Arabidopsis thaliana: one gene and its partner. The protein of the gene in region 1 interacts with the protein of each later gene in a pairwise test. Each region holds a gene or a part of one and is shown on either strand. Other genes may lie near its edges.

Evidence for each region.
Region 2: the proteins of CRK31 (region 1) and AT4G00670 interact in a protein complementation assay, tested with the Arabidopsis thaliana proteins (one large-scale study listed by BioGRID).

The regions. Positions count from the first base shown.
Region 1 is NC_003075.7:6,965,821-6,971,010, forward strand, and holds CRK31 (cysteine-rich RLK (RECEPTOR-like protein kinase) 31), read left to right. Parts: upstream 1-1,888; 5' UTR 1,889-1,893; coding exon 1,894-2,851; intron 2,852-2,944; coding exon 2,945-3,066; intron 3,067-3,150; coding exon 3,151-3,361; intron 3,362-3,433; coding exon 3,434-3,671; intron 3,672-3,765; coding exon 3,766-3,919; intron 3,920-4,008; coding exon 4,009-4,341; 3' UTR 4,342-4,649; downstream 4,650-5,190. Other genes in the region: CRK30 (cysteine-rich RLK (RECEPTOR-like protein kinase) 30), read left to right, coding at 18-237, 307-544, 641-794, 869-1,273.
Region 2 is NC_003075.7:277,805-280,803, forward strand, and holds AT4G00670 (Remorin family protein), read right to left. Parts: upstream 1,394-2,999; 5' UTR 1,367-1,393; coding exon 1,339-1,366; intron 1,255-1,338; coding exon 1,191-1,254; intron 1,124-1,190; coding exon 1,042-1,123; intron 934-1,041; exon of another isoform or gene 828-933; coding exon 630-827; 3' UTR 512-629; downstream 1-511. Other genes in the region: ADF8 (actin depolymerizing factor 8), read right to left, coding at 1,976-2,129, 2,207-2,505.

The DNA.
Region 1 (5,190 bases):
TCAGTTGTAATATGCAGGGTACGTTATCAAATGGAACTGAAGTTGCAGTCAAGAGGCTGTCAAGAACTTCAGATCAAGGTGAATTGGAGTTCAAGAACGAGGTGCTTCTTGTAGCAAAACTTCAGCACCGGAATCTCGTTAGGCTTCTCGGTTTTGCTCTGCAAGGAGAAGAAAAGATACTCGTCTTTGAGTTTGTTCCCAACAAGAGCCTCGATTATTTCCTCTTCGGTAGTACTAGTAGTCTAATTTTCCTCTTGATCCAATATTCTTGAAATCTTAAGCTTGGATTTGCAAATGGATGTGCAGACCCAACAAAAAAGGGTCAGCTGGACTGGACAAGACGGTACAACATCATTGGAGGGATTACACGAGGGCTTCTCTATCTTCATCAAGACTCTAGGCTCACCATCATACACCGTGACATCAAAGCGAGTAACATTCTTTTAGATGCTGATATGAACCCGAAAATAGCGGATTTCGGGATGGCTAGGAATTTCAGAGATCATCAAACTGAAGACAGTACAGGAAGAGTCGTTGGAACCTTGTTAGTATTCTCCTTATTATTTACAATGGGCACAATTCTCTGATGAACGGTTTTTGTTACTGACTAACGTAAACATTGTCATGTATATATTTGCAGCGGTTACATGCCTCCAGAATATGTTGCGCATGGCCAATTCTCTACCAAATCCGATGTCTATAGCTTCGGAGTATTGATTCTAGAGATTGTTAGTGGCAGGAAGAATAGCAGCTTCTATCAGATGGATGGTTCTGTTTGCAACTTGGTCACATATGTGAGCTGAAATCTAAAATGCTTTTTTTACTTTCTAACTGTGATCATCGATTCTGAATACGAGTTTGTTTGCAGGTTTGGAGACTTTGGAACACTGATTCATCTTTAGAGCTCGTAGATCCGGCGATTAGCGGAAGCTATGAGAAAGATGAAGTCACTAGATGCATCCATATCGGACTTTTATGCGTTCAAGAAAATCCTGTGAATCGACCAGCATTGTCTACAATATTCCAAATGCTCACTAATAGCTCCATTACTCTAAATGTCCCTCAACCACCTGGATTTTTCTTCAGGAACAGACCTGAGTCAGACACATTACGCCGTGGATTGGAGCCAGACCAATATAACAATGAATCTGTTACTTGTTCTATCGACAATGCAACAATCACTACACTCCTCGGTAAAACTCTTGCTTCTGCACTCTGTTGTATTACCTCAACTCTATTTTCAAAGTCAATGTATAGAAACACTGAGGATTGAATTATTTTTGAATATTAAAAGTTATCTCATTTTGATTCTGGTTTATGTATTCACGTTCATTTTTTGTTAAGAATAAATGCTTGGCTCACCTGCCCAATAACATCTTTTTTTGACCAAATCAAGGTTCTCAAAATAGTACGGTGAATGAAATCAAACTAGGCTATCCACTGTTTTATCCTCACATGTTTCTGCTTTGTGTCTTCCTTCACAAAGATGCAGGGACTCAGTATTTTAGACCCAACGGTACTCATTCCTTAATGGAGACTAAGAGATTTTTAAAACAATAGGAACCGACGACTTAAATACTTGTGTTTGGTCATTGCTTGTTGCATTGTGTTTTGGAGTAAGTTAGAACGTTTTGGTGTCAAATAGGGCCTAGAAGAGCTACAGATCAAGAATTGGTCTACGTTCACTTTCATCATATTTACCTAACGTGTTTATAAAGTATTAAATTATCCAAAACGTTGACCTAGGTGACTTGTGCATTAATGCACGTATCCACTACTTGACGAAAATTCTACACGCGAAAGCTGTTTTGACCAAATCAACGTTCCAAAATAAACATTTCCTTTTAAAGATTCAAGTTCTAAGATCTGCAACAAGTATCTGAGCAAAGTAAAATGTCAAGAGAAAAAATGTGTTTGAACACTCTCTGTGCAATCCTCTGTTTTGTCCTTACCGTTAGTTTCGGCTTCGTCTCTGCCCAAAAATGCGGGGAGTCTGTGTTTTTCAGACCTAACGGTAACTATGACACTAACCGTCGTCTCGTTCTATCAACGTTAGCTTCCAACGTCAGTTCTCAAAACAACCGCTTCTACAACGTTTCGGTCGGTGAAGGAGCTGGAAGAATCTATGCCTTAGGTCTCTGTATCCCAGGGTCTGATCCAAGGGTGTGTTCCGATTGTATCCAACTCGCGTCTCAAGGTTTATTACAAACCTGTCCGAACCAGACCGACTCATTCTACTGGACAGGCGACAACGCCGACAAGACGCTCTGTTTCGTTCGTTACTCTAACAACTCGTTTTTCAACAAGATGGCTCTAGAGCCAACTCACGCAGTTTACAATACTATGAGGTTCCAAGGGAACCTCACAGCTTATACAAGAACATGGGACGCGTTCATGAACTTTATGTTCACCCGAGTCGGTCAAACTCGATACCTGGCTGATATATCCCCTCGGATAAATCAGGAACCTTTGTCTCCTGATCTTATATACGCGCTGATGCAGTGTATTCCGGGGATATCTTCTGAAGACTGTGAAACCTGTCTTGGAAAATGTGTCGATGACTACCAGAGTTGCTGCAATGGGTTCATAGGTGGAGTCGTTAACAAGCCGGTCTGCTATTTCCGGTGGGATGGTTATAAATATTATGGTGCCTTCGGTGATGAAGCGCCATCTCAACCCCCCACGCCGCTTCCTCTTCCTCCTCCTCCTCCTCGTGATCCAGATGGAAAAAAGATCTCTACAGGAGTTATTGTGGCTATTGTTGTTTCCGCAGTTATCTTCGTGGTGCTAGTCGCTTTAGGATTAGTTATTTGGAAGCGAAGACAATCATACAAAACACTGAAATATCATAGTGAGTTACTTTTTTTGTTTTTGTTTTTTTATCACTCTCACATTACTTATTGGAATGCATATTAGTAACCATGCATATGTTATATATTTGCAGCTGATGATGATATGACAAGTCCACAGTCTCTGCAATTTGATTTTACAACAATTGAAGTGGCAACAGATAATTTTTCGAGGAACAACAAGCTAGGTCAAGGCGGATTCGGTGAAGTTTACAAGGTATATTTGAGCTGAGCTCTACATATATCTATGACTGCTTGATTTGCTGTGAAAACTAAGAACTTATAAGTTTTTCATATGTAGGGAATGTTACCTAATGAAACAGAAATTGCGGTAAAGCGTCTATCGAGTAATTCAGGACAAGGCACACAAGAGTTCAAGAACGAGGTTGTGATTGTGGCCAAACTTCAACACAAGAATCTTGTTAGGCTTCTTGGGTTTTGCATAGAAAGAGATGAACAGATACTTGTCTACGAGTTTGTTTCCAACAAGAGCCTTGATTATTTCCTCTTTGGTAATAAACAATAACACTTGGTTTAATTTATGTTCATTCATCAAATTTTCTTATAATTATAGTGTAATTTAGATCCAAAAATGAAAAGTCAACTAGATTGGAAAAGACGGTACAACATCATAGGAGGGGTTACGCGAGGACTTCTCTATCTTCATCAAGACTCAAGGCTAACAATCATACACCGTGACATCAAAGCAAGTAACATACTTTTAGATGCTGATATGAACCCTAAAATAGCTGATTTTGGAATGGCAAGGAATTTTAGAGTGGACCAAACTGAAGACCAGACAGGAAGAGTTGTTGGAACCTTGTTAGTACTCCGATAATCTCTTTAAAATTGATAAACCTTTTTCTATTTGTTTGTTTCTGATTAACATAAACCTTTTTATGTTGTATATTTGCAGCGGTTACATGCCTCCAGAGTATGTGACACATGGCCAATTCTCTACCAAATCTGATGTATATAGCTTTGGTGTATTGATCTTGGAGATTGTTTGTGGCAAGAAGAACAGCAGCTTCTTTCAGATGGATGATTCTGGGGGAAATTTAGTGACACATGTGAGCAGAAAACAATTTAAAATTTTACTTTGTTTAGATTGTGACCATCAAGGATTTGGATTCTGAATATGAGTTTAATTTCTTGGCAGGTTTGGAGGCTTTGGAACAATGATTCACCCTTAGATCTCATCGACCCTGCGATTAAGGAAAGCTACGATAATGATGAAGTCATTAGATGTATCCATATCGGAATTTTATGTGTTCAAGAAACTCCGGCAGATCGTCCAGAGATGTCTACAATCTTTCAAATGCTTACCAATAGCTCCATTACTCTGCCTGTGCCTCGACCACCTGGATTTTTCTTCAGGAACAGACCCAATTTAGACCCCTTAACCTATGGATCCGAGCAGGGGCAATCCAGCAGCATGTCTGTTCCTTTTTCTATAGATAGTGCGTCAATCACTAGAGCCACTCCTCGGTGAGATGATTGCTTTTGCACTAGTCAGTAGCATTTTACTTGTAACACAAGCAACTCCAGTTTTCAAAGGTCCAGTTAATTTTTATGGTAATATGGGTACATATAAAACCAAACTTATGTGTAGCCGTGTAGGTAGAGTATTCCTTTCTTGTTTTTTCCCATGGCAAGATGAGAATTTGTCAAACCTCAAATATGATACATTAACCTCTAAGAACAACCACTTACGAACCCATTTTTTTACTTCTTCAGTCATCTATGATAGTCACCAGCTTGCTTATTCAGCTTTTTGCTCCCCCAGATTTTCTATAAAGTGGCAACAAATTTTATTATTTCCCCTGAAATATCCATGCAACTACACTTATATTATGATGATGTTCCAATGATTTTGATCACCAACATTTGTAGATCTCTAAGGTTTTTATGTTTCATCAAACTCTATCTAGCAGCTTCACATGTGCTAGTATATTTGTAACGTCTCTCATCCAAGTCCTCTCTTTCAAAGACTGGTTTTCGCTATTTCAAGAGGCTATAAAGACTTCCGGAAGCACACTTAATTAACTGTGACAGGATGTTTCACCGAAAAGATAAGTGGACTTTGGTGACATAGATTGCCTCTCCGAAGCACTATATACACCACTATATTCCTTTAATAGAGGTGTTACAATATCATCTTGATAAATATTACCAACAACATGCTATTGCTTGAACACTAAACGTATTAACTCATAATCGCTAACGAATTTGAACATACGTCTTGAAATAAGACCAAGAATCGACACAAGCTAACGAGTTCTCCTATATCACGCGTGGTGTGATCTTTAGCGTACATGTCAATGGAATTAAACACACTATC
Region 2 (2,999 bases), 6.7 Mb from region 1:
CTAATATATTATTTGGATTTGTGCAATGTTTCAGGTTGGTTGAAGCCATGGTTAGACAGTTGTCTTATCTAGCCATGCAGGACAAGGACAACCCAAAAAGGCTTCACATTCTGCCTCTTACCTCCATAATGTTTTTTTCTGCGTCTTTGGGATTCCTTTATTTTTAAAGATTAACTATAGTCAAGGCTAAAAGGTTTGAAATACCGGGTAGTATTACAAAAGTGAAGTCTTTTATTTAGTTTTAACAAGTCGTTTGAGCTATTGTTTCTTTCTATGCCGTAGACTGATCAGTGGTTACAGTGTTGTGATGCGTCTTCAAGGAGCTGTGGTTTCATGACTCTTTCATGATCCTTTTCCAGCTTTCCAACTTCAATAATAAGTCTTTGAGACCTTAAGATGAGATTTTCCTTTTTTTCCATTTACACAGGTTGCTGATTTTATTTTAGCATGTTTTGTGTTGTCAATAGGTAGATTAGTTCAGGATTTGGTCTGTGGACAATGGACAATGAATTTTGCACTCTCTTGTTTTATGAGCAACACAAGCAAAACACACAACATACAAAAGATACAAGTATGAACATAGGATACCGGAGATAGGTGATAATCTGTATCACAGGTTAGTGCTGATCTCAGAAGCAGCTCAAAGATGACTTCTTGGGTATCTTTCCTGCGGCTTGAAACCTAGCAGCAGCTTCTTCCGCATCAAGGATCTCTTGAGCCCGTCTGGTTTGAACATCTGCCTTCTTCTTTTGTGCCTTTGCATGAACTGCCGCTTTTTCGTTCCTTAGTTTCTCAGATTTCTCCATCTTCTTACTGTCCATCTTCCGCTGTAGAAAACAACAATTTTTTCGTCTGTATGTTAGTTCTTTGACGACATGAAATGTCATGTTTCATAGTCTTGTACCATTTGGTTAACTTGCTGTTTAGATAGATTCATGTTTTTGATCATACACTACAGGCTACAGCAGTAGAACAGTCTTAAGCATACATGAGTACATAGATCATATATTAGGAATTGGTAGATGTCTTTTGTGGAATCACCTGAATTCTAGCGAGTTCAGATTCGATCTTTGTAGTTTTCTTTTTCTCCCATCCTGAAATATCTAGTAGCTTCTTCTGAGTCCTGCAATCAGAGAATCTGTCACAGTGGTACTGAAACGACGCTGAAAAGTGTTTGTGTTGTGACTTACTTGTTATTGACCTTTGTTATCTTTAGTTCCTTCCATGCCTTAATAACTTTTGACTGCTCATCTCCTATGTGGTATGTAGTAGGTATAAACTAAAAATTAAGATACAACATGAAACTAAACAATACTAAAACTCTGTGATATGAGTTACCTCTTTGGATCGGAATATTTGGCTCCATTTGATTGAGAATGAGTTTCAGGCTTTAAGTTCTAGTTGCTAGTTAAATGCACATTTAGGTCTATTTATAGTGATGTAACACACATGTTCGATTACAAAAGGTGAAAATTTGGAACTGTCGGTTTCAATGCATTGGTGTCGTTTTATGTCTTGAGGGAATATTTGAAAACCATCGTTCGTTTTAAATTAATATGTCGCAAGGAATAAATATATCACAATGCTTGCAAGCTAGCGAATCTTGATATGATTGGCGAGCACTAAGTGTTGTTCTAATTGCTCTTAGTTTATAATTTGGTTAGTTTTTATAATCCTTTCATTGAAGAATGGAATCCCCCATATAAAAAAATAAGATGCATGTGTTCAATATATGCCAAAGCATTCCATACCAAGTCCCCACTATGGAGTAATTTCACTATCTAATATCTATCTTTGCAAAATAATTATCATTCTTTTTTTTCTTTCTTGTGAAAAACAAAACAATTTAAAGACATTGAATCCACACAAAATGTAATATAGCGGACAAGCAAAAGCAGAAATGGTCCAAGAAAATGGCATGTTAAAGCTTAACAATTTGAAACGAATAAAGGATGCATTAGAATGTTGTTGTTGCTCAGAGATTGAGTCGTCCTTTGATGATGTCAAGGCTCATCTCACTAGGATCAGTTGCTTGCAATTCAACTTGAATTCCTTCCATTTCTCTCTTGAACCTGTCTTTTGAGCTTGCATACAACATCTTACTCCGAACTCTCGATGTATCAGGTGACCTGATCAATACAACACATTCATGAGCATTTGAGATCATGTGGAAAAAAACATGTTAAGGAGAGCAATGTGTTGTTACCACGCGATGAAAAAGATCTTGCTCTTCTGACAATTGTCCTCTGTGGTGAAATCAAAATCGTAGACAGCGTATCGGCATTCGTCATCGGGGATAGAGCTGGTAAAATCGTCGTAAGTTTCTTCTGGATTCCCAAGCTTTTCTATTTGCACTTGCTGTGCCTTCTCATCAATTTTGAACACAATGAACCTGTAAGTCCTCTTTGCTTTCAACTCTAAGAACTTAATCTTGCATTCATCATTCACATGCATCCCAGACGCTGAATTAGCCTGCACAACACACACACACACACACGTAGTCATTTATTTATATATTAAGCTGTTTCCATTCTATACATCTTCCTAACCAGTTACCATAAAACTTAGATTGTGATTTAGGATCATAGCATATAAACCATATGTCCACAACATCATTCTTAATGAAGTCAATATATACATGAAACCTATTCATGTGTTACACTTCCAAAACCAAATAACACAAAACCATATATATTCAACCACACCATCCACATATAAATTTCACATGTTGACAATCAGAACATAAACAGAATCAATGCATCATCATCATCTACATCAGAAGATTAAATGTAGGAACTTACCATATTTTCTTTGGAGAATCGAACTCTAATCTTGTGTTTGATGATTGGGAAAAATGAAGAGGATAGGGAAGAGTGAGGAGGATTGGGGGGGTTTATGAGGTTGAGGAAAAACACAAAAGTTGGGTAATATTTGATATTTTCTTTTGGTCTTTAGGCTGATCACGTCTTGAAATAGATGACTTTGATGCTATCACGTCG